2 linked regions of the Alligator mississippiensis genome follow. The protein of the gene in region 1 interacts with the protein of each later gene in a pairwise test. Links are inferred from orthologs where the notes say so. Each region holds a gene or a part of one and is shown on either strand. Other genes may lie near its edges. The genes, in order: ANXA11 and PDCD6.

Region 1 (16,674 bases):
CCATCTAGTCAGCAGTGCTATTGAAACTGAGGTTCTGACAAAGACAATTTTAATTGCAAAATTCCATGCCTTATTTTTTTAATTGGCTTTCTAAATACTTCCATGTGAGTAGCCTCACTCATTTTTAAAGAATGCAGGCACACATACAGAAATTATTTCTACTGAGGCACTTAGCTAGAATAACTGTTTCAAATGGAAAAGGCCAATATGAAATGTTTCCATTCTTTCAAATCCCAGTAGAATTTTACTGATGAAAAAATAAACCATGTACAACAAACGACTCAGTAAAGTTTTCCCTAAAAAATGCATCATGACTTGCTAGACAGAATTACTTAATGCTGGGCTATATTTTAGAAAGTGACAGTAAAGTTAGTGGGACTATTCACATAGGTACTAACAAATTAACTAGTAAAGGCCAAGTAATTTGGGTCACAGTTATAAAGTGGGAGAGGGATATTACAAACTATATGACAAGTAGTATGTGCTTGCAGATGGATTTTGAGGTAAGACAGCCAGTAAGGCAAAGGGATGGAAGAAGGTTCCCAGATGACAGATTCCTGGATATTTTTTTTCTCTCTTTTCAAAACACTTATGTTTTCAGGTACCCTGTGAGAGTACCATCTGCTAATGGTCAGGGTACTGCATAGACACCTTCTTTATACAAAGTGAATATTGAATCCAAATATTAAGTGAACTTTAAGTGATCCCATTCACCATTTTTCTTTTTTCTCTCTATCCACTTTGGAAACTCGTTGCTTTGAAAAAAGGGGTTAAACTTAAGAAACATGAATTAAGAGAGTTATGCCCTATAGCATATTTTGAAAGCACCAAATGCCTCTATGATGTTTACCCTACCCTAAAATGCTTTGACATCTGTTGGTAACTAGGTATGCATTATTATTGTAGTATGTCTCAAACCAGATGTTACAATAAGCCTTAGAACTGTCTGTGGGTATTAATTCTTGACAATCCATGTTCCCAGTGAATAGTCTGTCATCCAGCTAATTTAGTATCTGTGGTCTCTGCATGGTGCCTAGACAGTCAGAAATTTCGGAGGCTTTTTGGAAAATGATAGATAATCAAACCTAAAATATTTGGTGGAATAGCACTGGTTAAGCCAGCAAGGGTATTGGTTTGTCCAAAGATTATGTTTTGGAATAACTGTTTTTTGCAGGTAATACCAAAACTTTCTGTGAACCTTATAAACTAGATCAGGTCTAGTGTTGGAGCTGTTGCTTCTCCAGTGGCTTCTCTTCTTTTTCTTTTCTGTGCTCTCTGCCATTTTCAAACACACAACTCATAGTTTCTAGGGTTGGAAGGGACCTGAACAGATCATCAAGTCTGACCCTGTACCCTGGGCAGGAACGAGTGCTGGAATCATAATACCCCAGCCAGATATCTATCCAACCTCCTCTTCAAGACCCCCAACGTAGGGGAGAGCACCACCTCCCTAGGGAGCCCATTCCAGATCCTGGCAGCCCTAACCATAAAGTAATGCCTCCTGATATCAAGCCTGAACCTGCCGTCAATCAATTTATGGCGGTTAACCCAGGTGGTGCCCAAGGGAACAGAGCCTCGCCTATTTTCCGCTGGTGCCCCCTGGTGAGTTTATAAACGGCCACCCAGATCCCCTCAGTCTTCTCTTGCGGAGGCTGAATAGATTCGGGCCCTTTAGTCTATCTTTGTAGGCCTGGCCTGCTGCCCCCTAACCATGCGAGTGGCCCTCCTCTGGACCCTCTCAATGCTAGCCACATCTCTCTTGAAGTGCGGTGCCTAGAACTGGACACAGTACTCCAGTTGTGGTGTGACCAGCACTGCATAGAGGGGAAGGATCATCTCCCTGGACCTGCTTGTGATGCATCTGTAGATGCACGACAAGGTGAGGTTAGCCTTACTGACTGCTTCTTTGCATTGGTGGCTCATGTCCATCCTGGGGTCAACAATGACTCCAAGATCCCTTTCAGCCACTGTGTTGTTGAGAAGGGTGTTTCCTGGCCTATAGGTGTGTTGCTGGTTCCTTCTCCCTAGATGTAGCACCTTGCACTTATCTGCATTGAATTCTATTCTATTCTCATCTGCCCACCTCTGTCACCTGCCTAGAACTAGTTGGATGCTGTCCCTCCCCTCCAGTGTGCCCACTTCTCCCCACATCTTTGTGTCATCAGCAAATTTGGACAGCGTGCTTTCCATGCCCACCTCCAAGTCGCTGATAAAGATGTTGAATAGCACAGGCCTGAGGACTGAGCCCTGGGGAACTCCACTGGCCACATCCCTCCAGGTCGAAAACGACCTATCCACCACCACTCTCTGGGTGCAACCATTAAGCCAATTTGCCACCCATCTGACTCTGTAGGCATCAATGCCACAGTCGTCTAGTTTTTTTTATGAGAATGGGATGAGAGACAGTGTCAAAGGCCTTCTTGAAGTCCAGGTAGACGACATCCACTTCAATGCCTGCATCCAAGGACTTTGTGACCTGGCTGTAAAAGGAAACAAGGTTAGTCAGGGAGGATCTGCCCTCAGTGAACCCATGTTGGTTGCCCTTGAGCATTACCTCCAATGGTGGGCCCCCACGGATGGGTTCCTTGATAATTTTCTCAACGGTCTTCCCAAGGACTGAGGTGAGACTAACTGGCCTATAGTTACCCGGGTCCTCCTTTCTCCCCTTCTTGTAAATGGGGACCACATTGGCCCTTTTCCAGTCCTCTGGGACCAGAGCACCATGAGAGCTCATACAGCTGTGCCAGGAGCCCTGCTATGACCTCCACCAATTCCCTCAGTACCCTCAAATGAAGAGCATCTGGATCTGATTTATACACGTCCAGTCCCTCCAAGAGTTCCCTAACTAGATTGTCGCTGACCCTAGGCATGGCTTCGTGTCCCCTGAACCTGTCCGTAATCCTAGTGGGGGAGTTGTCTCGGTCCCTGATCAGAAATACGGAGGCAAAGAACTTGTTAAAGAGATCAGCTTTGTCCTTTGCTGCAATCACCAGATTGCCAAGCCTGTCCTGTAGGGGCCCTGTGTTACCTGGTGCCTTCTTACTTCCTATGTATTTGAAAAAGGACTTTTTGTTATCCTTAATTCTGGTCGCCAGCCCTAGTTCCATCTCTGCTTTGGCCTTCCTAACAGCCTCGCTGCAATCACGAGCAACGGAGGTGTAACCCTCCTTGGTGATTGCCCCTTGCTTCCACTGATTTTATGCCACCTTTTTTGCCCTCAGGCAAAAACTCCTTTTTTTCTGTTAATTATTTAGCTTTACCTCTTGTTCACCAAAAATTGATGCCTAACACGCAAATGCTCAACACCCACACACCATGGATTCTACAGAACATAAAGGCTAAGTACACAGTCAAAAAACCTGAGGCTGAATCAATTCAGTCTTTGCAGGTTAGTCTAAGCTACATAGAATAAATTGAGAAACAACTGGGCACACATTCACTTTTGATTCAAGAAATGCAGCCAAATGCCTGCAGTAGCTTAGGCCAGAAGCCAGGGAGTGCTAGAGCATGGCTCTTTGGCACATAGCCAGCATGGACTTTATAGTCACTTCCTCTTCCTGCTGCCCCCAAGGTCTCTGGGATTTGCAGTCCAGAATCATAGAAATAAGACTCTACAGGGTTCTCATTACTTCCTCTTCCTGCTTCCAGGTGCTTCTGGGATTTGTAGTCTGCAGTTGCAGCCAGCAGTAACTTTCAGTAAGTTTAGCAGGGCAGGGCAGAGCAGCTCTGTATTCCTATCCCACACCTTCCATGCATACCTTGCCTGCACATGCCTATAACTTAAGCACTTGCAATATGGATACACAGTCCTTCCAAGGTGCCATACTTGGCTTGCCATCACATCATTTTGAATGTGATGGCCATCACATCAATTAAGCATATTTTTGTTAGGGCCTTCCAAAGCTCCTCAAAATTGTCATTAGGCCTAATTAGCTTTCACAATATTATAGCAACTGCAGATTTTCCCCCCTTGTAGATCTTTGCCTTTTCCAGCTGATTTATAAATGATAGCTAGGGATCCTGGTTTTCTCTGTTTAAAACACCAAATTCTCTGATAAAAATCCAAAATTCTCAGATTTAAAAACCTTCAAGTCAGAGTTTTCCCACGATTAAAATGAAACGCCACCATATGTATAGGTATCAGTTGAACACAATATTTTTTTGATATATTTACAATTTTAAAGCAATTTGGAAGTCCACCAGTGCCTCCAACAGAAGTTGATCACAGCGCAGCGTTTATTGACCTATCTGCTGCATATGATACCATCCAACACTACATCATGATCTACAAATTGTACCTCATGACTGACAACTGAGACCTAAACTAGACCATTCATAGCCTATTGGAGAATAGGTGCTTCTGTGAAAAGTAGATGGTGCTCCCAAAAGAACGGTTTACTACAATGCAGTATGCACACCCCTTTTATTCACTATCTACATTAATGATCAGCCACATCCTGCTGAATGTCAGCATTTCACCTAGGGTTGTTGATTGTAGCTGTGTTGGTCTAAGGACATAGGCAGAAAAGGTTCTTTGGGTAAATGCAATCTCTTTTATTAGCCCAAGTAAATAGTTGGAAAAATTGTTCTTTGCAAGCTTTTGTGCACAAACGCCCTTCTTCAGGCATACTCTCCTTATGCCTGAAAAAGGGTGTTTGTGTCAACTATTTAGTTGATCTAATAAAAGATACAGCATTTCATCTGTGCTGATGATCTTTGCATTACGACACAATGGAAGAATGTTGAGAACACAGAAAAGATCCTGGAGAGGGCACTGAATGAGATGTCAGTTTACCACCTAAACAAGTATCTCAAACCCATCCCTAGCAAAACTCAAATCTGTGCTTCTCATCTGAGAAACTAGGATGCAAAATGACACCTGAATGTCACCTGACAACAGTCTCGGACATTAGAAATACCCATTTTACGTAGGGGTAACACTGGACCATACACTTAATTACAAAAAGCACATATCAAATACCAAAGCCAAGGTCAACAAATGAAACAAAATCCTGCATAAGTTTGCAAATTCCAAGTAGAGAGCACATCCACCCTTCACACTACTGACTTAGCACTTTGTTTTTCTGGGGCTGAATATGCCTGTACCACCTGGGGATGCTCAAGTCAAAGTAAACATATTGACACCACCTGAAATGATACATGCAGAATTATAACACACTGCCTAAAATCCACCCCTGTTCCCTGCCTATGTGCAGTCTCTGGGAGAGCGGGGGCGGGGGGAGGAGGGGAGGGATGGGGGCTCTTGGCAGAGCCCCCCATGCAGCATGGGGCAGTGGGGAGCAGCGGGGATTGGCCCTCTGCCTGGCAGCAGCTAGTGAATAGGGGCTTTTTTTTAAAGAACCGGAAGCTGGGGCTGGGGTGGGGGGAAGCCATTGATGGGGCTGGGATAGCAGGCGGGGATCAGGGGGCACTCAGGGGGGCTCGGGGAGCAGGCAGGGGATGTCCCCCCCATGGTCCCCTTCCCCTCCTCCAGCCCCCTCCTCCTACTTACAGGCATGAAGTCTGGGTCCAGTTCCCTGTGACAGCGAGCAGGGACTGCCTGAATCTCCAAAGCTCTCTGAATCTTTTCCAAATTGAGTCAAACCTTTTTATTGGTCTCCTGATTCAATTCAGATTCAGAGAGTCAACCGCCAAATCATTCCAAATCTCCTCTGAATCAAGTCAACACCCGAAGCTTTGCATAGCCCTACTCAGCAGCCCTGATATGCCAGCACCCTTCCCATGCCATTGCCCCCCAGCTCAGCTGGTGCCCCTCACTCTGGACCTGCAGCCACCTGGCCCTACTGGTGCCACAACCCATAAGCCCCTTTCCCCTCCCCATTCCTGCCAGTGCCCCTCCCTCCCAACCTGCACCCCCCTGCTACTGCTAATCCCCTCTGGGACCCTTCACTCCCAACTCACAGTCCCCTATACCCCCTCAGCCCTGCTGGAGGGGCTCTCCCAGCTGCCAGAGCTACAGGACCCAGCAACTGCATCATACCAACTCTCTGCTCCGCAGGTGGCCAGCAGCACCTGTGTCGTGGCAACCATGCACAGGAGGTGGTAGCTGCTGTGACTGGAGTGGAGCACAGAGCCTGGCCCCTGGCTCCTGCCCCCTCCATGGGTGGCACAGCTGCAGCAGAGCCAAAAGGAGCCCATGGGGGGGTTGGGGAAGGTTCCAGGCTGCCTTCTGCAGGGCTCAAGGCTCCCCATCCCCCTGGGGGCCTCTGTGGTTCAGCAGATAGGACCCAGCACAGGAGGGCGAATTGGGGTGTGGAAGCTCAGTGCTGCTACCAGGAGCCCTGTGCCAGCTGTGCTGCCATGGCAAAGCACCCCCTGCTCACTTGGCAGCAACAGGGCTGGCAGCATAGAGTTGTGCTCCCTTCCGCCCCCTGCTGCTGCTGGGTAGGCAAGAGGTGCCTCACCTTGGCGGCACAGCTGGCATGGAGCCTTGCCACCCACCTGTGCCGGATCCCATCAGCTGGGCCTTGGAGTGCACAAACCTGGGGAGGTACATGCCCCCTCATGCTCTCCTGATGTGTTGCCTTTGGCGCCTGAACCCTCTTAGGTGTGTGTGCATAGGGCCATAGTAACACTTTAGTGGACCCTAGGCAAACAAACTTGTGGGCCCCAGGCCGTTAAGACCCCCCTCCCAACCCCAGCGCTGCTGCCCATGGGAAGCAGGGCTTGGAGCTGCCGCGAGGAAGCAGTGCCATGGGAGTGAGGCTGTCGAAGGGGAGGGGAGGGGAAGGGAGGCTAAGGGAAGGGAGATGGATGGGGCTATTCCCCACTGCTGCAGGGGGAAGGACCGGGCCCTCCACAGCTCAGGGCCCTGGGCATGTGCCTAGTTTTGCCTATGCGTTAATCCAGCCCTGTGTGTGCAGCAGTGGGCAGCCAGGCCTCCCGCTGCCTCCCAGAGGAGCTGCCTGTGGCTCTGTCCCTCTCCCTGGCTGGGTCATGGCTGTGCATTCTTGCCTTGGCTGGGCAGTGCACCCAGGCCCAGCTGCCAAACCTGTCCTACTTCCTCTCCCACTGTGGCCACCTGAATCTGCCCCCTTTGCCCCATCCACACCACCTATGCCCCCTCCACCCTTCCATGTGAACGGACCATATCCCCCCTCCCCCACCCCACAGACTGACCTGCAGGCAGTTGGGGGAGCTGCTCTTCACCATTGTCTGGCTGTATTTCTGGCCATGCACACGTATCTGTGTGCACACATGCATGTGGCACCCCCTGCATCCCACTCCCCGCAGACCCAAGCAGCCCTCTAAAACTCTGCTGGCCTGCAGATTTTCCATGACAAAAAACCCCCCGGATCCCTCATGATAACCACTAGCCACTCTGTTTCCAGCTTTAGGCTACCTACCTAAGGGTGCTACAGGATGCAGCACAGTATTAGAATATTAGCAATGAAAATGGGTTAGGGGCTGGGAAACATGACTTATGAGAAGCTGGGGGAACTAGTCTTATTTTATCTGAAGATGGAAGGGGGATTTAATAACAACCTTTAAGTACCTGATGGGTGGTTACAGATGATGGAGCCAGACTGTTCTCAGTGGTGGCCAAAAACAGGAAAAGGCAATGGTCTCAAGTTGCAGCAAGGGAAGTTTAGGTTAAGTAGGAAGAGAAAGTTTCTCGGGCAGGGGGTGGTAGTAAAGCACTGGAATAGGTTCCCAGGGAGGCTGTGGAATCTCCTAGAGGTTTTTAAGATCTGGCTAGACAAAGCTTTGGGTGGGATGATCTAGCTGGGGATGGTCCTGCTTTGAGCAGGGGGTTGGACTAGATGTGACCCCGAGGTTCCTTCCAACCCTAATTTTCTACACAAGAGCAGACTATTCTGTAACCATCTACACAATTCACAAGATCAATGCAGCAATTTTGAATAGGAATCCATAATGTCAAAAAAAATCCAACCACCCCAAAACCCCATTCTGACCCCTTGTGGACCAAGAGAAGAATTGCTTTATTACTTTTCTGTGGTCAAAAACTGAGGAAAAATGTAGAGCTGGGGTTTTCAGAGGAGGTGCCCTGACTCTGAGCCATGGATGGCTTCATCTAAACCCAACGAGAGCCAAGAGCTGTGCCAATTTGACAGGCTGTTTTCTTGTTTGTTGGCTTGTTTTGGCTTTCGGCCTTTCCTCTCCCTCTGCTTCAATTCCAGGCCATGCTGGCCCCGCCCGTCTCTACTGGTCTCTCGGGAAGGACCAATACTAAGAGGCAGAAAGAAGTTGGTTCCCTTTCCCCAGTCCCTTGTTGCTGGCCCCGGCTCCTTTTCCAGAGCTGCTCTTGACACATTTGTGACGAAATGGCAACTCCTGAGCTCGTCTCATTCAGTCATGACGAACAGCCTTTCATTGCGTGACGGGGAGCTTGGAAAGAACCGGGAAGAAGCAACCGGGAACAAAGCCCCAGCCCCAGCCCCAGCCCCAGCTGCCCCGGGGCCGGGCACAAGGGCCCGCCGGGACAGCAGCTCGGGGCGGGGCCGGTTCGCCGCCGGGGCCGGGCGGTTTCGGGGCGGGCCTCGCTCCTCCCCGCCTCCGGGCGCCCGAAATAGAAGCGCGGCCGCAGTCGCAGTTGTAGCAAAGCGGGCCCGCGGCGGCGGCGCAGGTAGGACAGAGCTGCGGGAGGGCCGGGGCCGGGGCCGGGGCCGGGCGCGGCGGGTTCCTGGGCTCGAGCCCGCAGGCACCGCTCGGGACTGCGGCGGCCGAGGCGAGGCGAGGCGGGGCTGCGGGAGGTGCCGCTGTGCGTGGCCCGGGGGTGCGACACCACCGAAAGGCCGAGCCCTGCGGAACGGGGTTGGCCGCCGGCCCCGGCCCGGGCCCGAGAACGGCTCCAGCCCCTGGCGTAGACCAAGGCAGGATAGTGGGCACTGGCATCCAAGACGGGGCTCATCCCGCCTCCGCCGGCTGCTGCGGAGTGGTGGGACCGCCCCGGGGCTGGAGCCGGGACACGGGCCGCGGTCGCCTCCGCGGGTTTCCCAGGACGGCTGTCCTTGGAGAAGAAAACGCCGGGCTCTGCCTCCCCCGAGGCGCTTCTTTGTAGCCCGCGTTGCTGTCGCTGGCCAGTGTGAAAATGAAACCAAGCGATCTGGTGGCGTACTTTTCTCAGCTACGTGAAAAGCAAGTTGGAGGCGTCGTGCTGTTCGACTTGGAGCCACACACGCTTGTCTGAGTGCTTAAGCATCAGTGCCTGCAGCTCAGGAAAGGCCCTTGTGCCCAAAGGCCTGTCTAGCCCCTCTGCCAACTGTAGGGCCGGTCCAATAAAAGATATTGCAGGAACCTCCTTGTCTCTTTGTATTTCCTGGACCATCACAGCTACAACCACGCTGTAGCCTGGAGGACTAGTGTGTGCTTGTATTGCCACTACTGGAAGTCCTCGTGGGTTGAAAGCAAGCATGCACAGAAGCGTGTTTTTGCAAGATGGCCTTTAAGAATACTGTTTGGATAATGATGTCCACCTTATTTTTTTTAATTGCATATTTTTATGTACTGTGAAATGGAAAAAAATGCATCAAAATTACTTCCTGATTTCTCTCTGGAGAGGAGAAAGTGAGCAGTGAGAACAGCTTGTACTAGGAAATAGTTGTTTTTCTCTACTAGATAAGGGAGTTCCTGGAAGGCCTTTTTTTCTCAGAGTGAAATATAAAAGGCATGGATCTAGTCTCTGAAGAGGAGGAATGAAAGTGCTGTATATAGAAGGGAGGGAAAACTGCATCAGACACAATATGTAGGGAAAAAGGTCTTTCTCAGAAGGGAACGGTGGGAATAGTATAATGATGGGACTAGGCACCAGTATTTCTTTGTCTGGCCTCCCAAACCTCAGCTGTTGCAACAGTGTGGTGGTACATTCCTTTCCCTCCTCTACGTGCATGTTATTTTCTGCATGACAAATCAGTCACCTCTAGAGGAGGTCTTGTGCTATTGTTACTTGGTGCAATGCTGTCCCTCAGCTTATCAGCCTGGTGATTCTTTTGTGATAGGCATAGCGTAAACACAAAGATTAGCTGCTTCTCTATCTTTCTTTTACCCCTTCAGCTCTTTGTTCAAACAAAGGCTATTTTCCTTTTCAAAATAAAGTTTGGAATCTTAACATTATTATAATGAAGCCACATCATCATGCTTTTCTTTCCAAGCTGCTTTAAACATGATTACCTTGATATAGTAGCTCTTATGTATATTGCAGTACAGTTTGAAAGCTGTACAAAATGTAAATAAAATAATAATTGCATTGATATAATCATCAACAAGAAATTTCATAATCCAAGGTGTGTGTGTGTTTATCCATGTCCTCCCCCACCCCTGGACTTAAGATAAGACCTGATGGTTTGTCTTGGGTGGTTAGGCAAGATTTATAGACTATAAAGTTAGGTACTAATTTCCTTACAGTTTCAGTGCAGGTTAATTGCCCAACTCAACTGCTTTTGAAAATCCCACTCCTTAGGCCTTTACCTGGTAGTCACCCAAAGGTGTACATCATGGGAGCAGAAGGTATATAAATGCCCCAAGTCACTAAAATATATGAAACCACATCTAGGAAGAGTGCTGAAAGTTGTCAAAACACCACAACGTTAATGGGAATATGGTTAGACTGTAATAGCAGAAGACTACTTCAAGAAAATTGAAGAAGCATGCAAATTCAGGCCTCAGCTCTTCGTGTGAATCCAAGTGTATGGAATATTTTGTTTGCTAGTCCTTAAATCACCATGTTAAAGCAGAATTAGCCTGCAGAGAACCATTTACTATCTCTGCATTGGTCAGAGTGATCAGGGATGAAATTTCAGTGGCAGTCCTGAGGTGCAAAGAGGAACCTGCAGTTAGAGCACAAATACTAGGCAAAGTAGACAGTAGTTTGACAGATTTGAGTGTCATTTGACAGTGGTCAAGCAGCTGGTAGGGCAAATATGCCTGTATGTGTTACCCTGGCTTCCCAATCCCACAGGTGGGACACCTTCTGTTAGCCTCAGGAAGATTCATAAATGGAGGTTATTTTCAATTGTGTATAAAAATAACTAAGAAAATCAATAGTTTCTCCTTTGTTATTTATTTCCATATTGCATCTCTTCAGTCCTACCATAGTACCCTTGTTGAGAATCACTGGTCTGCACCATAATACAGGTCAGTCGCATCATACGCACATTTAACTTATGCGAATTCAACTATACGCGGGGTGGGAGGGGGGGCAGGGCGCCCCCCCTCCCACCATTTGAGGTGGTATAAGGGTTATGTCTTCTGCTTTCTTGTAACTACACTTTTCCTGTTTACAAAACTTATGATCACTATGAAATGCATGGCTGCCTGGCTTAAATACGGTCAAGCTGGTTCTTGTAAGTCGTTGTTAAAGCAGGTTGAAGGCTGACTACCTCTGTGTTAAAGTAAGGACTTAGCTGATCAACAGAGAAACAGCAGTAACCCTTTACAGTCCCTAGTGAACAAAGCTCATCCATTTATTCTGACTACTTAAGATGTACACTTTGTTTATCGACTTCCTGAACAGTTCAGTGCTTGCGGTAATTATGTGGTAAATGTTGTTTTATTGCTTCTTAAAAAAGACAGTGGACTTAAGTTATCTGCACAGTTATACAGTGTCTTTTCAGCATGCTATTGCCAGATACGTTTATCCTGTTACAAGGTACCTTCAGATGTCTTTTACTGTATATGTTCCATAAAGGTAACTTCTGTGAAGGTCTCTTTCGGCTCCCATAAATAATCTTCTGTCCCAGTATTTGAGGTGCTCTCGTAGAGCTAGGGATGAGGTGGTCTCGTAGAGCTATTACACTTTTCCTTTACTTCAGTAACCTGTGGAACAGAAATGCAGTACATTTGCAGGGAATATTTTGGAAAGCTTTTCACTTACTTGTCAAGATGAGGTGGGAAATGCCTGAGCCGCTGTCCCACTTGTGGAGGGAGGCTGCTGCTTGCTGGGCACCTTAAGTCATGTACAGTAAACTAAGTGGAGGCTTACAATATATTTGGCTATTGTAGTTAGGAATTTTTCTGGATTTTACTTTAGAGTACTGTAAAGCTTACAGTATTTTTCTCCAAAAGCATTTATCAGTGCTCTTTAAAAGTCAAACTAGGAGTAATTACATTTGACCCTGCTTGTGTTAAATATGAGAGTGCTTTGTTCTTAAGTTGTGGTGGCCTAGTGCCTTTAAAAAATAATGTTATAAACCTCAGAGGAGTGAATGGGGTTAGAAAAGAATTCAAGATATTTATAAGGGTGCTACTCATCTGTGCTAAAACAATTTGACCTGATGTTACAATTAAATATGAACTTTTCCGTTCCATATATTCTAAGTTCTCATAAACCCATTCTGATATCACATGAAGCTTTTTTTTTTCTTGTGCTAATATCTTATTAATCTTGCAGTTATGGTTAAAGCAAATAGAAGGCAGGTTAGATTTGCCTTCTGCCGAACTTCAGATTAACACAGCTAACTGCCTCTCCCTGTTAAAACAAGTGTCTGGTGTATGCATTGTAATATTTTGACTAGCAATAAAATATTTCCCAGTGAACATCCTAAGGTTTTTGTAAAGGAAAACACTCAGGTAGGAATGGTGATGAGCACAAAAGATGCTCTTTGAAAAATAAATCTGGGGTTAGTGGATGAATTGTCATTAGTAGGAAAGTTAAAAAGCTTATCGAAAAATGTAAAGGAGGGCTTTAAGTATTTGCTGTCTTTAATAGTATGTCAAGACTATTTAATATACCCAAAAGGAAGAAGGATTTTTGCTAAAGAATACAGAACAAAATGTTGAGGAACAAATGTTAATTGTGATTTAAAAAAAAAAAAAGAAGTCAGATATTTGGGGTTAAGAGTGTTGGCAGCTCCAGGGATCACTGACTACTCCATGTCATATTGTTTCATTTTCATCTTTCTCCCTCCATTCACTTGGAATCCTAATGCAAATTCTCAGCTTAGGATAGCTAAAGCGTACAGACATTTGTTTCTTTCTCTTTATTACCCCTTTATGATATGAAGATTTAATGCTGATGGGAATCATTGTTCTCCTGGACTTGATCTTGCATTTACTGATGAACAGAAAGTTATGTGGATCTCCATGCAGTATCTTAGTCTCTGTAGAGCAAGGATGGACAATTAGTTAGGCCCAGGGGCCACATAGGCTGTTTTAGTGAGCTGTAGTGGGCTGCTGCAACAACTCACCAAAACTCCTTATGTAGGACGGGGCCCCAGGCAGTAGTGTTCAGGAGCAGGAGGGGCAGGGTAACAGGGCGGTGACTCTGTGGGGCTGGGCCCAGGGCAGAACCATGATCTGCTGCCCACATGCCCTTGCGACAGTCACGGGTTTTGTGGGCTGGGGACAGAATTGCTCCATGGGTCAGATCCGGCCATGGGCCATATTTTACCCGCTCCTGCTGTAGAGGATATGGGTCTCACAGGGTGTTGACTGCAATACGTGTGAAAATATGTGCATTACTTAACCAGCATTACCTCACTTGGGTCACCAGGCAACCACTGAATAGATCACAACTTTCAGTCATTTACCAACTGCATTCACTATGATATAAATGTAAACATAGATGGGACATGCTGTCTTTAAAGAGCTGTGATACAAATCAGTTGAATTAACTTGTTTAATCGGAACTAGCCTTTGGAACCCAGTAGTAATCTGAAATCTCCTTTGAACATTTTTTCCCACTCGTGTAGTGACTTGTAGGGGATAAGTAGCAATTTCAACAGAGATGACTTGAATTGGTGTGGGGGTGGTACACTATTTTCTCTGTAGGCTGATAAAATAAATCTTTACTGCCTCAAGGAAATGGAATAGGTTGGAAGCAGCATGTCACTTTTAAAAAATGCCAGAACTACGGGTTTCTCTCTCTTTCCCTGTCATCCTTGCCTTCCTGAATGATCATACCCTTGCTTCAGTCATGACAATTGAATGCTGCAAGCAGAACTTCAGTATTTGATACGCTCCCACTCTTTCAAGCCAGCAATACTCAAAATCCAATGCTAATTCCAGCAGATCTAGGGCTCACTCTAGACCCATTGGCTTTATTTCTTTCCAGTCCCTTCTACCTCTCTAAAATGGTTGAAGTGCTGTAGAGACCAAAGGCAGGGTTAGGAAGTAGGAAGCTTCTGGGCTATTTTGCATCTAAGGAGGTCTGAAAAGACATTGGTTGGGGGAAGTGGTTGTAACAGTGATGAGGGAGAAGTTCCTGCAGCATCTCTGGTTATTGCCTTAGCATGCAACTGAAAGGTGGGGAGAGAGCAATTTTTAAATTATCCCCATTAATGGGCTGCAGTTTTGACTATTGCATTTATAAGGCAGAAGCAATTTATGGGTAACTAGTTACTAGTGCTGATGATGCTTCTTCTGCTTTCATGTCCCAGTAGCAGGTCTTAGCAATGTGAGTGGTGAACAGATCTGGGCCAAGTCTGTCCATTTGTACATGCTTATTGTATGCTTTGAAAAAAAGAGGTCTTTTCTTAAGGAGTGCCTTCCAAACCAAGTGCTTGTGGTGCCACATGATTCACAGTGTGTGCAGATTCCCCCTCTTTAGGATGGCTTTAGGTGAGCCAGTGTAATAGTTTGACCATGGCTGTTTCCTACTTGAGAAAGGGAAGAAGAATCCTAGTTGGTATACATGTGTGGTGTGGTGGTTGTTTGTTTGTTTTTTTCTTTCTTCTTCCTTTAAAGAGGGAGGTTTTTAGCAGCTGTCTGAGATTAATGCTAGAATAAAAAAGCTAGTAATTTATAATATCACAGAGTTATTTAGGCTTTTATAAATCAGGGTTTTTTTAATTCCTGAAAAATGTTTTTTCTGCTTTTGATCTAACAGTGGAAGTAGCTGTTCATTCATGATACATCTGGCTTTACAGCACTCCACTCCCATTTTTATTTCTGTCACATAAGATGTCATTGTGACTAAATAGGAAATGTTTTACTGGTTGCCTCTTGGATGCATTGTAATGTTTAAAGGTAAGGAAACACAATATAAGCCCAGCTCTGTGTAACATGCTTTATTTGTGTGGATCTATTTTATATATTGTCATATAGGTTGAACTGAAGCAAAATCCTTTGACCCTAGCTGACTTCCTGCCTTTGGGGCAGGGGGCTGGATTTGATGATCTCCTGAGGTCCCTTCCAGCTCTAATGTCTATGAAATCTGTGAAAATGGCTATTCATTTGGTTGAAAGTGAAAGTAAGCACTCTTGATATATGAAAGAGAACCAGGTGATAGAAAATGTGTTATACCACAGTGCTTCCTGAACATTGCAAATCATTATTATTGATGGAGTTGTAAACTTGTTTTATATTTGCACCCAACTTTCTCCTTCTGTGTTTAAGTATTTCTGAGACCTCCTTTTTTAGTCTTCATTTGTATGTGGTAGACTTCTGATTAGGTCCTGGAACCATGCCAGTGGAGACATTTTACTTGCACAGAGGGCATCAAGGTTGAAATAATTTTGTATTTAACTTTCATTTCAGGGCATTAAATACTGAAATTTGGAATGCCAAATACTGAAGTTGATTGGAGTGTGTAAAGCTGTAAAATGAATATATATAATTTCTGACTGCCATTTTTTCTGCTGAAACGTATCATAATGGATCATTTTCTTCATCCAGGAGCCTGAACCTAGATTTTTTTTGTGCACTTCTATAATATGGCTTCTGCCTCTTAAACTGTAATGGGAAACTCTTTATCATTACAGAGGTCTCAAATCATCAAGTGGTTCCCACATACATCTGTATTGCAGACATACATTGCTGCTTTAGATACCTATTTGCGTACTGACCAGATTCATATACATACATTTGAGGATAAGTATTGGTCACATTCCTTTAAGAAAGTACAGAGCTCAGTAATGTCTTTTGGAGGTGCCTCTTGAGGAGTCTTCGTACTAAGCTACTACGTGGTATAGGCGTGTATTCTTGCTGTTTTGACCTTGTTTTGACCACAATTTGTCACTGTTGCTTTTTGTGATTATTTTTCCCCCAGTCTTGTTTACCCAGCCAGGATAAAAATATTGCTTTCCATGGAAGCACTATTATAGTGTGTTACCAAAATAGTCAACTTTAAAGGTGTCCATTACTACTGATGTTGCTTCTGCGCAAGCAATTTAAATGTCATTGAAAAGAGTTAGGCCTTTTTGAGAGGGGGAGGGGAATGCAGCTTTTTCTTTATTTGTCCTCATCTCTCAGCCTGCTGAAACTGCCTTTATGCAGGGAATTTCAGGTCTCAATGAATGACACTAATGTTTTTGAAGCATGATTAAATATAGTGCTCAATAACCTACTTCTTGTATTGAAACCAGAAAAGTACCCACAGAGAAGCTGTGAATAACATGGGCTATTCATGAGAACTTTGCTCAATTTGTAATTAACATAAGACCAACCATGTTTGCTTTTACTGTAATGTGATGCAAACTTTTATTGAATTAGTTTGTTCCTAAAGTTAAAAATAAGAGGGAGTGGATAGACAGACAGTTCTAAAGGGCTTTAGGGAACAAATACATTAAAGGCATTTTTATCTTATGTATGATGGACATAAGTCTTGACCTACATCAAATACTATGTTCAGCAGTATGTCAGCCAGCCAATATGAAATCTTTCTCCAGCATGAGTTCAATCACATTTAGCTACAATGATGCTGATCATGGTTTGTCTCAGTCTACAGTGCAGCCAGTGCTATCAGCATAGTTATCC
Region 2 (16,143 bases), on another chromosome or scaffold:
CATCACCCTTCCTCATGGTTAATGAGTTCAGGGTTGTGGACCTTCTCAATTACAGTCTGTAATTCACACCTGGCTCACAGAGCTCTAGCATACAACACCACAGTAGTAACTTTCATGTAAAAAAGCCAGTTGTGAGCTCTGCAAAATCTCAGCCAGTTCAGCCCCCCTGAAATGTTTGGGCTCAAGACAAAATACCCAGTTGTACCCCTTTGGGGGGTACTCTGATACCCACATCCCCTTGCAGCTCTTTCTGTCTGCCAAGCTGTCTGTCACTCTGGCTTGGGTGCTTCTGCACTGAAAACAAAGGTGCTGCTCCAGGTCTCAGCCACTGGGGATCAAGCACAGACTGCTGCAGACCCAACAAGAGCTCCTCCCACCACTCTTCTGATTCCACAGGGGCCTTTCCTGCCTCTTCCTCCCACCATTTCCCTGTTTCTACAGGGCAGCTGAGCTGTGCCTGAAGGGAGCCAGCAAAGGACTGGGATTTTCATCAGGTTCCTTCCAGGGAGGGCTCAGGTGGGTGGCAGAGATGCAGGGTCAGGAAGGGGAAGGTGAGGCAGGAGGAGAGGTTTGAGGAAGATAAGAATGGGGCTAAGGACATCGTGTTTCCATGCCTGATAAAGGCAGTGCAAGCAAGAAGCAAGGGTGAATTTGTGGGTTGTCATTTATTGGACCAGGTGTAAAATTTGGGGGAGACATTAGCCAAGGGCACTGAAGAGGGGTACCTGGTGCTCAGAAACTTCGCTAATTGGGCAAAAAGATTGTGGCTGAGAGAAAAACACAACAGAAAAAGTAGAAATTTGAAGTGGGGAATTCTTTCCCAACTACACAGTTGATCCAAGAGAAGATGTCACTAAAATAATCTCAAGTCTTGATTATGGCTTGGACCATTATGACTACAATACCCAAACCCTACTGCAAGGAAGGCTATGGCTTTTATTCAAATGAGATAGACACAGACAATCAGGGGGCAAAGCATTTTATGCATGGTTGTTTTTGTAGCAAAGCCCAGGACATGACCCCCAGGCCTGCAAGTAGTTTACACCCAACATTTAGGTCTATTTTAAAATGTACTGTTCATTGTGTAAGGTAATCAGCAGCCTAGATCTGTGCCAGTGGCTGTTTGTAGGAACAAACCAGATGCAAGAGGATAATTTCAGGATGCGGAATTGTACCTGCAAGAAGAGTGAGCCATGGCTTGGCTGAGAAACTGAACCCCCAAATCCATGGCTCACAAAAAGTGGAGCTAACAGGACTCTGTGGCATAGGTGTCAAGACACGGTGCTTTGCAGTCGGTGATTCTGAGCAGGTTGCTGGGTGCAGGAAGAGACAGTCTGTTGAATGCTGTTGTGTTGCTCTCATCACAGCCCATAGCCAGCAGTCTTTCTGCTGACAAGTAAAACCGGAGAGGGGTGGGAGCTGAATAAGTTGGGAAAATAATAGTGTGGGTGCTACATAGAGAGGGATTTAGCTCAATGTGAATAAAGGGGAGTGGTATCTGACAGGAAAGAAGGAAGCAGCAGAAAGATTGTCATACCTGTCTTACATAGGAAAACACACAATTTATTTCTTTCGGGTAAAACAAGACACATTTGTGATCCTTAGGTATTAAAGAAAAAAAGATACATCACTTTGGATGAAAATGGGAGAAGATACTCCCAAGGAATCAAAGAATGACGGAGGAAAAGCAGGAGGGAAGAAAACTAAGAAGGTACAGTCAGTAACTATTTTAAAACCTACATGTCATGGAAGAAAGAAGATGGTGGTCAAAATAGACAGGTGTTCTTAGTAATGCCACTCAGCATTACCTGGTAGTAGCTTTGAGCCTGTTCTGCTATCTGGAAGATGGAGGCAAAACTGTTTACCTCCTCCACTAGGGGCTGGGGGTGTTAATCAGCAAATTCCCATGCTGTTCTTGAAAACCATAAAAGCTCCAGAGCACGTAGTGTTCAGATGCCTCATGCCATGGAAGAGCAGAGAGCCCTGGAGATTTGGTATGAGATGGAGAAAAGGTCTGCAAGTGAATTGATTTTCTTCCCTGTGAAGAAATGAACAGGTTGACAAGTGCTTTCTCTGGGGGTGTTTAGAGACAGTCCCAACAGCAGGCCTTAGCACCTGGTCAGATATGGAACATGGAAGTGAGATGTGCTGTAATCTCCTACTCAGCAAGTGGCAGATTATCTGGACACAAGGTCCACTCCACAGAGTGCGTCCAGAGGTACATCCAAATCCTAGCCTGCCTGACATCTGTAATAGGTGCGCTCCTGCATTGAGCCACCCACCTCCCTACGCCCAACCACCTTCCAGGCTCTGAGTGCCTCCCTAGGGGCGCCTCATGTCTGGCCAACCCCCTTCCTGGAGCACACCCGCTAGCCTGGGGTTTCCACTGCCACCTCCCAGAACTCTGGACTTAATTCGGGCTCTGCGCGCTCTGGGAAATACAGCCCTAGTAGCCCTCAAGGGGACTTGATTCACTTCAAGAAGTTGGGATGCTTCCCTCAGTCAGAAGCACAAGTAGTGGTCTCCCTTAGTCTGCCGAACCAAGGGGACCCCAAGGCATAATCTAGACCCACTCCCAATAAGTATCCCACACTAGGTCCAAAGGAGAACTTTATTGGTTACAGAGGGTAGGGTTAGAATAGAGTACAGGGTAGAGCAATATCAGAGAAATCCCATAGAGCAAACTCCTGTGGCTGGGGTAGCTTTTGATCTTGCATCTGAGTTACTGCAAGCTATAGATCTAGGTGGATCTCAGGTAGCTTACTCACAAGTATCATCCAGAGGCAGGTGGAGAGTCCCTCTGGAGGCAAGCAGTTCTTTGATCATGAATTTTGAGAGTGAGAGCCAGTTTCAGATAGTACAGTTCTTCTTTGTTCCCGAGTATCCCTCATGGCTGCTGCCCCCCCTCCCCCCGTCCCGGGCAGTCTTTAACTTATATAGCCCTTGTGACCTCATTTACCTGGTCCAATGGAGGTCAGCACCTGTTGGTTGTCAGCCAACCAATTTGAAATACATCACTAGTTGCCGGGCAGACTCTAGCCCACCAGGAGGGAAGCCCCTCACCCCCCTATGCGATACTAGTCACCTAGGCAGAGGGAGCAGGTTTCCCCCCTCCCTCAGGAATGTATCCAGCTCAGGTTACCTAAAGAGATAAGGTAAGGATGTCTCTCTCGGCTGGGTCCATCCTAATTAAAATTGTCACAGAGCTGAGTTTTTGGGAGGGAAACAAAGGTGGCTTTCTGCCACAGGGTAAACCAGCAAAACTAGGTCACCTCTAGGCTCAAGGTGGGGAATGCTGGCCCTGGTGAAGTCAGTGACAAACTTCTTGAAAAACCTCCCTTGGCCTTCAAGGTAGTCAGAATTTTCTCCCATGGTCTTCAAAGCTAAAGGAGGCCAGACTGCACATTGGCCCTTCAGAAATGTGTTCAGGGGGATACAGTGCTTATCCTAACTTGTCATTCAGTGACCTTTCCTGAACTGGCTATTTATTTATATCTTTATATTTAATTTGATTTATATCCCACCCTGTCCAGAAGGCTCTGGTCATACACAGAGTGTTTTTCATGGGTGACTGTTATTGTTCATGCTAAATGTTTGATTCATACCCAGTAGACAGCTGTTGCTATGTAAAGAAGGGAGAATAGAGGAATTAATAAACACATTTATTGTCCCCTCTCATTTGTTCCTGCTACAGAGAAACAAGGCCAAGGAAATGAATGATAAAATGACAGATATAATGATGTGGTCTGTGAACGAGGTAACCAACATCATATACCCAGCTATAAGACAGTATAAAGAGAGAAAGAGTAGGCTCACCCAAGAGTTAGACCTGGATGCAGCCAGTACCACACTAGTGGGTGGTTACATTGCATCAGTTTGGGAAGGTGGCATTCACAGAAGCAGGCATGGTGCATCTCACTGCAGCACTCCCTGCTGGGGTACAGTGCAGCCTAGACAGGCCCGTTGGAACACAAGCTTGCAGGACACTGTTCTGCAGCGATGCTAAAACAACATCTAAAAACATTAGACGTAAAACTAGAAACCAGTCCCAGTTGAACTGACTGGATGTGTTTTTGTTTACAGAGATTCGTGCTGCCATACACCAGGCGTGGGATACAGAAGATTCTTTTGACATGTCTGAGGTCAATATCTTGTAAAACCCTTTGTGGCCCAACTTCCTGGGATTACCAAAAGTCTCTTGGCTCCCCCAGCTGAGTCCTTGCATTTTGCAGGCTCTTCACTATTTCATTCAGTTCTAACTTCTGCTCTGTAACCTCTACACAGATCTTGCCTTTAGGTGTGCAGTGGAATCCATTCCCCAGCCCAGTTGCTCTAGCTGTTGAGATCTCTGGCTCCAATCTTACTATCCCTGAAGTCAAGGGGTATTTTTCCACTGGCTTCAATTGGAGTAGGACTGAGTGCTTTTTTCTAACCTCTACCCTAATTATTCTTTCTTTACTCCAGTCTATCATATGTATTATGTCTTAAAAACTAGTGGAATCTATATACATGAAGGGAGGCCACTCCAATGTGCTGTAATTACAGTGTCTTGGAGCAGACTCGATTCATTGAATCTGCTGGAGTCTGTTAATTACTGCACTCCAGCAGATTCCAGTGTCACATGTATCAAGGTCCCTGCACTGAAAAATGGCGCCCATGCACGATGTTCTGGACACTGTTACACTGATGCTTTCAGAGCCGTGCTAATTTAAGCACCCCCCACCCCACTGTCTTCCACAAAATGTCTATAATGCCCTAGTTATACCCAGAGAACACCCTAGTTGTTACCTGTGATGCATATAGCCTTCCTAGGCCCACATCTTGCAGACTTAAGCATGTGCATAAAATCATGGACATCACATAAAGTAATACATTACCTTAGGAATTGTTACTTAAGAAGGGTATTGAAATCTTTGGATGTATTGAAAGGGAACGTAGATCACAAGTATGAAGGCATTATTACCACTGTCTATGGTATTAATTAACTCCTTATTGGATGCTGCATCCAGTTCTCATGTTCATGCTTAACTGAATGTTGATACACTAAAAAGGGTTCACAAAAGTTACAAGAAGGTATGTAGGTCTAGAAAACCTCTCTCAGTGTGAGAGACTAATAAAGTTCTACTTATTCAACTTAAAAAAGAGGTTTATCAGCAATTTGATCATGGGCTAAAAGCATCTCTATTTAGGGAAAGTTTCTAATTGGTAAAGGCTCTTAAGTCTTCCAGACAGAGGCAGAAGAGAATGCAGTGGCTGGAAGATGTAACTGGACAGGTTTGTTTTAGGAACAAGGTGCACACTATTTTCTTGTTATGCAACAAGTTATTAACTACAGGAACAACTTACCCAGGGGTGTGATAAATTGTCCCTCGTCTGAAATGACTTCATTTCTAAAAGACAGGCTGGAGCATCACCAGGAATTATTTGGGTTGATTCTGATAGCACTTGCTGAAGTTTTGCAGGCTGTTTCACTGCGGATCAAACTAACTGATCGCTCTGGTCTCTCTCTGCCCTTCTAATCTATGAAGCCCTTTGTACATTTGAGACTTAGTGCTTCCTCTCCTTTCCTTCCTTGCATCCTTTAGATTGCCTTTCTTTGTACTTTCTCTAGCTCTATGAGGAGTTTGCATGTGTTAGGAAGTGCAGAATTGGGCAGGAAAGATACTCACACAGCCCAAGGGAGGGGGAAGCATAGAGAAACTGTGGAGACATTATGAGGAGGAAAAGTAGCGGAGGTGGGGAAGGGGCTGAGCTGAGGCTTCTGTACGAAAGACTGTGGCATGCCCGACTTCAGAATGTAGGACAGAAGGGGGCCTCAGTCCATCCACTGACCCACACTTCACTTGGTCATTCATGGCATCACCAGGAACTGTGGCTGGGAAGAGAGCCCCACCACTGCTGCCTGCCCCTCATTCTGTGGCTGTGTAATCCTGAGGAGCACAGATCAAACAGAATCCAACCTGACTCTTTTTACTCTTCCCATGGTCCAGGTGGAATCAGCCTCAGAAGATGGTGAAGTGAAAGATCCCTTCTTACCAGTGGAAGCAGGAATTGATATAGGTATGTATGGGGAAGTGACACCATGGGTAAATTAGGTGCTGTACCTATGGTCACAAAGCAAATCTGTGGCCAAGCCCGGGACTGACACTAGGCCTCCTGAATCTCCATTCATTGACCTACCCAGAGACCATCATTGCTGCTCTGTCTAACACTTTACATGCAGCATTCCAGTAGAGAGAGAGTTTCTTGTCTTCAAGCACTAAATTGTACAGAGCTGAGTCACAGTAGAAGATCCAGCCACGTTGGATATCAGTACCCCACCTTAACACACACCTACATTTTGAGTACCTGCAATGCCTGAGTGGTTACACGACTGGACTGGAAATCCAAATGCATTTCCCTGTACAGAATCAAATCCTGTCCACAGGAGGGCCTTGTCTCTTGAGGAAGGTAGGACTAAATGACCTTTTGAGACCGTTGATTTATTCTTCTGTATTATAAGACATTTCTCTTTTCTCCACAGCAGCAGCTGCCAGTGTTCCAAGAAAATGATCTTCATTTTTTAAGAAGATACCACACGCTCTGTCCAGAGCATTCTCTTTTCTCTCAGCTTGCCTAACTTGCCACAGAGAGTTTCGGAAAGTCGCGCCAGAGACGATACACATGTGCTAAATTGGTTTAGGAAAAAATAGGAAAAATATAAATAGTTTTAGGAAAACAGGTGGACTGGTAGAGGCTGCCATTTCTATTTTGTGATTGCTTGCAACTTAATTCCCATGTAGCTAAACTCAACACAAAGGACAGAGGAGGCAGAGACAGGAGGTCAACTCTATAGGGTAGAGGGAGGCTGCATTATTCAGGAGCTAAGGTGAATCCTAAACAGGTGACCATGACACTGGAGGGGAGTTGGAGAGGGAGGTCAGGAACCTACTCAACCAGTAAGTATTGCCACAAAGGGCCAAAGAACATGTTGAGAGAACTTGGAGGTGCCACCTAGCAAGGGTGGAGCGTTCAAGCCAGTAGACAATGCCATCTGGGGATGGCAACATTCTCCAGCTGGAATCAGAGGGGAATCGGAAGCACCCTGGAACTGAGACATAGTTCTCAGAGCCAGCAGATAAAACAGTTTTCTGAGTCATTAGATACAGCGGCTGGAGTTTGACCAAGCTGCCCGAGCAGAAGAGCAGCATGGGAGAGCTGCATGCAGGGAGGAAACACCCAGTTCTGAGGACCAGTCTGTCTTGGCCTGGCAGTAGGGAGGGCTGAAAAGAACAGTGGTGATGCCCTGATCTCTGCTCCCTTTAGGGACCTCAGTGTCACCAGAGGAAGCTTGGGACTCCCTCCTATGAGGGTCTGAATCATCTCTGACCCATCTCTAATATGTGCCACTTTCCCCCAAGGGCTGGAGTTACTCAGGTGCTGGGGAAAGGGATGCTGCCAAATTCACAGCTACTCACCGCCAAAATTCAAAGCTTAGGGTACAGAGCCCCCCCAGGTTACACCTGGCTCCCAAAAAATGAAAATTTCTTCAGTATTATGACTTCTTTAAGCTCTTGCTTTTTGAAATCCCCACTCCATAACTGGGGACAGTTCCCAGGCTGCCAGCTCCCACAGGGACTGAACACAAAACTCCCATACCAGCTCCCAGCACAGCCGGAGGGCACTGCTTCTCCACAAGGATGTTCTAGACCAGTGGTACTCCACCTTTTTTGTACCAGGACCCATTTGTAAGCTTCAGTGGCCATTCCTGACCCAGTGCCCCTCACTCCTGACCCGCTGCCCCTCTCCCCCAAGCTTCAGCCCTCCACTGTGGGTGTGTGGGATGGAGGGGTGTGAATGGGGCTGGGGGGCGGGGAGGGAGGCATCCAAGCAGCACCTCACAGCCTGGAGCTTTGCCAGCCTGCAAAGAAAAAGATGGTTTCCCAGAGTTTTCTCCTTTAAAGGAGAATCCACTTTTAAAGTTTGTTCACGACCCTTTCATATATTCTTATGACCCACTTTTGGGTCACAACCCATGGGCTGAGAAACCCTGTTCAAGTGCAAGCCACGAGCTATGGGCTGCAGAGCCCTGTTGCAGTGAGTTCAGTTTATGGTCTCTGCTGTTCCCCCTGCGCCTCTAGTTTCAGGAGTGTTTCCCATCCTTCCCCAGGCTAGGAAGGTGCTCCACTGAACCCCCCCATACTCCTTCTCAGGTCTCATTTAGCACGAATGAGCCTACCTGACCCAGGGCTCACGGGAGAGGAGAAGATGGGGGAGTGGAGTGGTCTGCACTGGCATTCTCCATCATCCTTGCATGCAAGTTGGGTTTTCATCAGGGCAAGGAGGGAGAGCTGCTTCCCCCTGAGGAGCCCCGACTGGCCAAGGTATCCCAGAAGGCAGGCTAGCAGGACAGGCAATCAGCCAGAGGAGGGTTCTCTATTGAGGGCTGAAGTGCATTTCATTATAGCAAAGCCAGCCTCCTCAGGGGCCCAAAACTGTCAGCAGCAATGATATCCTGTAAGGCTCTCAACACTGCAAGAGCAAGCTTAGGTAGGAAAACACTTTGGCGAGGATGTAGTCATGCAATAGGGGGAACAGGGGCAGGGGAATGAACAAGACACCAGCCCTGGGAGCTGATTCTGAGGGGCACCAAAGTGGCAGCCCCTAGGAACCTGCACCGCTGCCGCCCCAGCAGCCCGTGCTCACTCGGCGAGCTTGTGCCAAGGGAGCAGCAGCTTGCACCACCACCGGAGCAGCCCCCGTGCAAGAAACGAAGCGCTCGCTTGCCCAAGCGCCACCACCCTCAGGGCACCAGCACCTGAGCGAGGCCTCTGGCTCAGGCCCGTTGCTGCAAGAAGCTGAAACGAGGACAAACCAGAGCAAGGCGCAGCCAGGTCTCGGCTCCCTCGAGACTCGTAGCCTGCACCCAGGAAACAACGCCGTCCTGACGTGCCACAGTTGCTACGGCTCACCCCGGGGTGCTGCTCCTAGGGTCACCCGGCGGGACAGAGAGAGCGGGGGCAGGCTGTGACGCCTCCACCCCGGGTGGTCCCTGTCCCGCGGGCCGTGGCTGGGGGGCTGACAGGGTCGGGAGGAGGGACAGGGAGAGGCCGGCGTTTCTCAGGATGGCTCCGCACCACGGAGCAGCACGACCCCGCCGGGGGCTGTCCCCTGCCCCTTGCCCCGTCCCCCCGGGAGGCGCCCCCGCCAGGCCACTGCTCTCGGGTGAGAACGGCATGAGCCGCCGTGTCTCCTGGGCCCCTCGTGGAGCGCGGGCTCCGGGGCGGCGACAACCACCCCTGCGGCGAGGGCGTGAACCACCCGCGGGCAAGAGCCAGACCGCGCCCCACTCACGTCACGACCGGGGCGTCACCAAGCCCCGCCCCCGGCTGGGGGCGGAAGGGGAGGGACGAGGCGTCCCGGAAGTGCCGCCGCGCCTTGGCCCCGTGGCTCCCTCGCGGCCGGAAGTAGGCGGGCAGCGCGCGGCCATGGCGGCGATGGGGCAGCAGTACCGGCCGGGTGCGCCGGACGCCAACTTCTTGTGGAGCGTGTTCCAACGGTGAGCACCCCTTTCCCCCAACTCCCTGGCTAACGGCCTCGTCCGCGTGACGTCAGAGCTGTCGAGGCTCCCGGGGCCGGGCGGGGAGCGACTGCCGGGGGGGCCGCCCCCCGCCTTTTCCGCCCCCAGCGGCGCTCGGTGCCCGGGGCTGCTGCGGCCGCCGCCGCCTCCCTGCGCCTGGGGCAAAGCTGTAGGGAGGTTTCAGCGCCGCCCGCAGTAATGGGGCAGGCAGCTTGCCACCGTGTGCCTCCCCACTGTGCCTGCCCTCGCTGCAGCCTCGGGCTGCCCCTGGCTCCGCTCCCCGCGCTGCTGCTGCCCCTGTGGTCTCGGGCCTTTGTCCGCCTTCCTCGCCTGCCCTGCCGCCGCCTCCTCCTCCTCCCCCCCGCCCCCCTTTGCTTCCTGCTGGCAGGCTCGGTTCCTGTTGCAGCAGGAGTGTGGGTGCAGTGCTGCTAGGGGCTGGGCTGGGCACATGCTCCGTGCCCCAGGCTGCAGCAGGGAGGGAGCCCAGCAGAAGAAAGGGGCAGTGCGGGGCAGGGAGAGGTGGCGTGGGGGGGCAGGACTAGGGGCTGCAGGGTAAGAGTGGCTGGGTGTGCAGAGGCGGCTCTGGCTCTGGTCCTGACCCCTGCTGCCTTATGCTCTGCTGTAGGGTGAAGGGCTTTTTTCCCCCATGTTAAATGAGGGGTGGGGGGAGAAACATTGCCTTCTAATAGAGTCAGTGCGGCCGGTGGCACCTACGTTGTTGCAAGTGTTGTGACACCTTCTGTTGCATTGCGCGCTTCAGCACGTGGATGCTGTGGACTCTGGCCTGATGCCTCCTTCTTTACAGACCATTTTGTAGGAAGGCTCTGTGCCGAACTCACTTCTGTGGCCTCCAGTCTGGCATCTGGTGCCTCACGTTTAGGTATTATTGCACTGTCCGGGCTTGTTTGTGGTTGTAGCCTTTAACAAGCATGACATGTTCTGTTTTTCTAAAGATGCCCAGTTATTTTCTAAGAATCTTATACCAAAATCTGTGACTATGGTATAATTTTTCATTGTTTTTTTTCTTTTTCATTTAAAGGAAAATACCTCTTTAAAGGTTATTCTCTGTGTTCGTTAATGCTCAACCTGGTTTACTCTAATAATCTTCCTCCTTTTTCTTGGCAATTTTTATCTCTTGTATGTTTATAATGAAATGGTCTCTTCATTATTATACTGAATTCATTAGGTGTGGTCTGCAGAAGACAGTCATGTGATGAGGTCTCCATGACTACTTATTTACAGTGATAATTATTTACTTCTGTTTGTGTTGTCTTTGATCCATGGTGCAGCAAAAGCCTTAGGTTTATGGTAACCTTAAGATACTTACTGTATTTTTGTACCTAAAATACCAGATTTTTTTTTTTGAATTTTTTTCTTTCCTTATCCTGTATATTGAAAATGTGGGGTCCCAGTCTTGCAAATATTTCCATTTGGGAGTAGTTTTGCTACAACCATAGTCACTCTGACTTCAAATTAGACGCATGCATTAAGCGTGCAAAATCAGGGCTTTTGTGCTTCATTGAATTTTTGCTGTTTTAACATTATTATTGAAAACTTTTTTCTTTGAGAGAATTTCTTGAACGTTTCAGGTTCTAGAGTGGAATTTGTTAATTTGACATGGAAACATTTAAAATTCTTTTTGCAGGGTTGATAAAGACAGGAGTGGAATAATATCTGACATGGAACTTCAGCAGGCATTATCCAATGGTAAGTATAGCTCCATCCAAAAGTACTTTATTGAAAGTTGAGTACAATATCTCACTTGCTTTTTGGATTATATAATAAATGTTATTTTCTACGGGCAGTTAAAGCTCTGGTATCCAGCATAAGTTGAGAGTCGCGGGGTGCCGGGAATCTGAACATGCCGGTTACTTGAGGCACAGGGGTTTCCAGCTGGACGCAAAGCGGGGGCAGGGGGTGGCAGTGGCTGCAATGGAGTAACAACAGCATAGGGTGGCAGTGGCTCCCTGCAAGCTTCCCCTGCCCACCCCTCGCAGCCAGCTGACTGGCCAGAAATTCTGGTTAGTAGAGTATTCTGGCTAGTCGAATGCCGGATAACAGGGCTTTTACTGTACAAAAGAAACTGATGATCTGAATAAAGAGGTAAGAGCAATCCTCTCAGGAAGGACTGAAAAGAACATAAGAGATTATCAGGTAAAGAACCTGTAACTTTCTGACCCTGCATGCTCATATACATATATTTTTAACCCTTAAGAAGGAAGTTGGATTTGTTTCTTTTTCTTTTTAAAGATTCTTTATTAGTCATTTTATGTACTTAAGTGGTAGCAACGTAACAAGCCCAGTTTCTGGGAATTGGATTGTGTTATACGAGAGGAAAAGCATATTAATATAGCCTCCCAGCAGCTTTGTGTTTTCATACAAAATATTTACTTATATCTCTGAACATGCCCTTCCCTTTTCTTAATCAGTCTGTAGCCCAGGGACATTTTGCAGGAGTACCTCCAACTGGTTTTACCGAACAGGTAATCTGTGGCATATCATGATGCAGGCAGTGAGCATGGTAAGAAGACTGAGGTTCTATGACAGGGCTGTCCAACTTTGGAACAGCTAACTAGGGGTGGCACACTGCACTGGTCACAGGCCTTAGGCCACTTGCCATGGGAGCTGAACACTGCATGGGCTCCCAGGACCCCTGAAGCGTAAAGTTTCACCACCAGATAGGCAGCACAGCCATCAAGCTCCCTTCACCACATGTGAGTAGTGAGCTCACTGGGCCCCCTCTCGTTATGCTGTTGGCCCCAGCACCCAGTAGCCTGTATGCTGCACGTTAACCCCTTGCAAGCTGGATGTGGGCCACCAGTTGAAGAGTCCTGGCTGATTAATTTCTTACTGGATACACAGATAAATGTCTGTGTAGAGAGGAAGGTGGAAAAGTGTAATCAGTGCTTCCAGAAGCCATTTCTTCAGCAGTTCCCTAGTTTATTATTAGGACTTCCTAGCCACCATGAAATCACTTGTGTTGAGGCGTTGATAGGGATTATAATAAGCTTATCAGTGATCTGAAGGTGAAGTTCAGGTATCCTTGTTAAACATTTTTGTTTTATTAACTTTTGTTGCAGTTCACTGATCATGTAATGCTATGAGAGTGGACCTGGTTGTTCTTTAGTAATTTACTTTTTTTCTGGAAAATCACAGACACTGAGTTTGGGTAGCTCCTCATTGCTTCCCAAGTTCCTTTCATGTGAGGTCCCTGCAAAGTTTAATTCTGTCATCCCTTCTGCTCAACCTGTCTGTGAGGAAGGTGAGTCGAGTCTGAGTGATGTTTTGGGTTGCAGTGCTAAGATCAGTAAAACATTATTTTTAACAGTCATCGTCTGTTTAGGAATATATCCAGGCAGTGGGTTTTACCATTACAAATCTGGTGCCATTATAACCTGTATTTATTGTTTTTGAAAGAATTTGGTTTTATATTTTGCATGATAGAAGATTACAATTGAGGGTGGATCCAGAGGGGATGATTTGGTGTGCCCTTAACCCCTTTCTGACCATGCCACAGGAGCACCATTCCGGGACTTAAGGTTCACGTAAAATAAGAATTTTGTCCCTTCCCTTTCCATCCATGCTCAAAGGCATGACCCTTCTCCTTCCTGCTGCTGCTAGGTCTGTGCTGTCCCCAAGGCAAGGGGAGCTCCTGCCCACTCCAGCTGGGCTGTGGGGGGGTAGGCAGTAACTAAGCTCAGTGGGGACCGTGGTATCCAGCAGGCACATTCCCCCTCCCTTGCCTGTGAGGTACCCTGATAGCCTAGGAGCAGGCACAGGGAGGGGGGAATGTGCCTGCCTGCTACTGCCGCAGTCTTGGGTGAGCACAGCTTGGCTGGAGTGGGACAAGAGCTCCCATTGCCCCCAGAACAGCAAGGACACCAGCAGCGGCAGGTGGGGAGGGGAGGGGAGGGGACATGCCTCTGAGCACAGAGGGGAAGGGAGGAGGGAAAATGCTTACCGTCCCCAGGGTTTAAATCCTCTACTGCTGCTCCTACAGTGTCGTCTGCATGCCCCCCTGTCGGGGAGATGGCAGAGGAGCTGGGGGGTGTAGCCATCACTGTAGCACGAGTCACCTCATCCCCCTTTGTAAAATTCTGGATCCATTTCTGATTACAGTGGATAGATGCTCCCCCTTGCCCCCAACCTCACCACCAGAATAAACTGCTTGAAAAGGCAGAACAACATTTTAACAAAAATAGGTGAATGAATTGGAGTGTCTATCTTCATTCAGACCTTAAATTGTTCTTTACAAGGATTCTGGGCCCCCTCTCTTCATCAGTCCTTAAATTAGTTTTGTTTTCCTCATAGTCTACTCCAGTGGTGATGTTACCCTTCCCAGCTTAAATTCTGCACAACTGTTTCTCTCGTCTATTTGCCATACTCGGCAGCAGCTTTCACTCTTGATTATAATTTAATGAGAGCACCCCTGTCTAAACAACAGTAAGAAAACTGAGAAAACAGATAAGCTAGTCAGCTCTATAAACACACGTTTTCAGATGCTGTGTTCATCCTCTAGAAGATTCGAACAAACCATGCTCCCTAATAGTTCACTATATGCTCCCCCCACCTCCCCCTGGTATTAAATGGCAGTTGATTCTGCATACACAAAATTAATTGCTTTAGTCACCAATGGTTTTATCCACTCCCTTTCTTCTAAGTGTCTAGATGTGTGCTTGTGCCTTTGTTTAACTTGACAGTAATATGTGTGACAAGAACCTACACGTTGTCACCGTGTCCTTTTTATTTTTTTTAATGATTCTTAATTACGTATCCTAATGTTTCCAATATCTAATATTTGAATGTATGCTGTGTTCATGTGAATACATTAGAGCGACTTTACAACCTTTGCTGCTTGAAGACCAGTGACCAGCAGAGTCAGGGTAGGTTTGGTTCGCATTTGGAAAGTTATCTTCATAGCTGAGCATATTGTAGAAGCTAATAATTAAAACAGAAAGAAATTTCACTGAAAACATAAACTCTATGAAAAGAATGGCTTGGGCTTTTCTCTCCAGGGAGGTCTCTGCAGGTGGTACATAGACACCCCCCCCCCCCCCCCTCCGTTCAAAAACACCTTACAAATATTACATACTCCTCTGTCATAAGAAGCTGATACTAACAAGCTACTGCTCAGATTTTCTGGTGGCTACTGGAAGTGGCAAGATCTATCATTTTGCAGTGTCCATGTATAGTCTTTTTCCTCTGTTGCAGCAGTCCTATTCAGTAAAATTCTTGGCTGAGCTATTGGCATTGCCGTAGCCCTGATGCTGGAACAGGCTAAAACTAATGTGTTAGGAGCCCTTGTTCTGGATGAACATAAGCTTTGAGTTGGACCAGTTGAGCAATATGTTTGACACACAAAAGAAAGTCTCTTTAAAAAAAGAGCAAGGACGTGCCTAAAACTAAATTGGGGATAGATTGATGTAGGGAGAAAACAGTTGCTTCTCCAGTATTCTTTCTTATGAAAAAGAGAATGTTTGGACCTTGAACTGTATTCTTGGATCTGTGGCTGATTGATTTTCCACCCCCCCCCCCCCCCCCCGGTGCAATTTGTAAGTGTAATTAGACTTACTCTTTTGAGACTGTAGAAGAAAAGCACTTGTGATTAGGGTTCAGAGATGGAAAAGAAACTCAAGGTGACTAAAGTCTTTGCTTGCTTGTTGCTTTGTATGACTATCTGACCCTATGCCCTTTTTTGCTAGAGGACTGAGGATATTTGGAATATTGGGAACGTAACATTGAAGGCAGGTGAAATTTGAGCAGAGACTCTTCTGGCTCCAACTGAGGCAGAGGGGATGTGGGTATTACACTTGGGTAACTACAAACACAATTTGTTTAGGGCAGTAGACTCCTTGGATTCCATGGGGTTTTTGTATGTCTTGCCTTCCCAGAGCAAAAATTAGACTGTATATGCAGGCAGAGTCTTAGGGCTCAGTTTCAGTCTCCCTGATGAACCTAGGACTGCTGCTGAGTATCTATAGTCTGTCCACTCCCTCTCCAGCACACTCATGCTTAGGCAGCAAAGAGATGCTGAGCATGCATCCTAGTACTGCTCAGATTCTTTGGTCTTGGTTCACTTGGTGCAGCTAAAGCTGCAGGCTTTTGTCTGTAGTGCACTGATATTTCTGCCGGGACTTTAAAACTCATGTTTAACTCATGTTTTTGGCTAGAGGATCCCCATACATGGGCTCAGGAAAAAATGTTTCCTCTTGTTCAGAAAGGGCAAAACACCTGCAGTATGGGCCTACTCTGTAGCATGGGGTAGGGTCCTCTTCCTAGGATCCTCTGAGCATATATTAATTAACCAATGACTTCTCTGACATTTCAGGAGCAGGGTATTGGCAGTGCCGCTGTCTCCACTGCTTTTACATACAGTGTGTTGTATGTTGAAGTTGTAGTTTTGGAGAATCTTTGAGTAGATGGCCCAGGAGGCCTGACCATCCTTGGGGCATGTGTTTAGAGCTACTCTTGAATATTATAGAGCTGTGGACCGTGCTTGGGATCATTGCATAGGCCTCTACATGGCATGAGCTCTGGAGCTAGTTTCAAAGGTGGAGCGCGTGGGCAGGGCTTATCTGCCTGGC

The links.
Region 2: the proteins of ANXA11 (region 1) and PDCD6 interact in binary tests that used the Homo sapiens proteins (3 or more experiments, as listed by UniProt). The link is inferred for Alligator mississippiensis from reciprocal best matches to the Homo sapiens genes ANXA11 and PDCD6.

What each region holds. Positions count from the first base shown.
Region 1 is NC_081829.1:33,906,315-33,922,988, forward strand, and holds the start of ANXA11 (annexin A11), read left to right. Parts: upstream 1-8,476; 5' UTR 8,477-8,608; intron 8,609-16,674. UniProt on the Homo sapiens protein: Binds specifically to calcyclin in a calcium-dependent manner. Required for midbody formation and completion of the terminal phase of cytokinesis.
Region 2 is NC_081826.1:146,212,524-146,228,666, forward strand, and holds the start of PDCD6 (programmed cell death protein 6), read left to right. Parts: upstream 1-9,428; 5' UTR 9,429-9,467; coding exon 9,468-9,538; intron 9,539-11,204; coding exon 11,205-11,266; intron 11,267-16,143. UniProt on the Homo sapiens protein: Calcium sensor that plays a key role in processes such as endoplasmic reticulum (ER)-Golgi vesicular transport, endosomal biogenesis or membrane repair.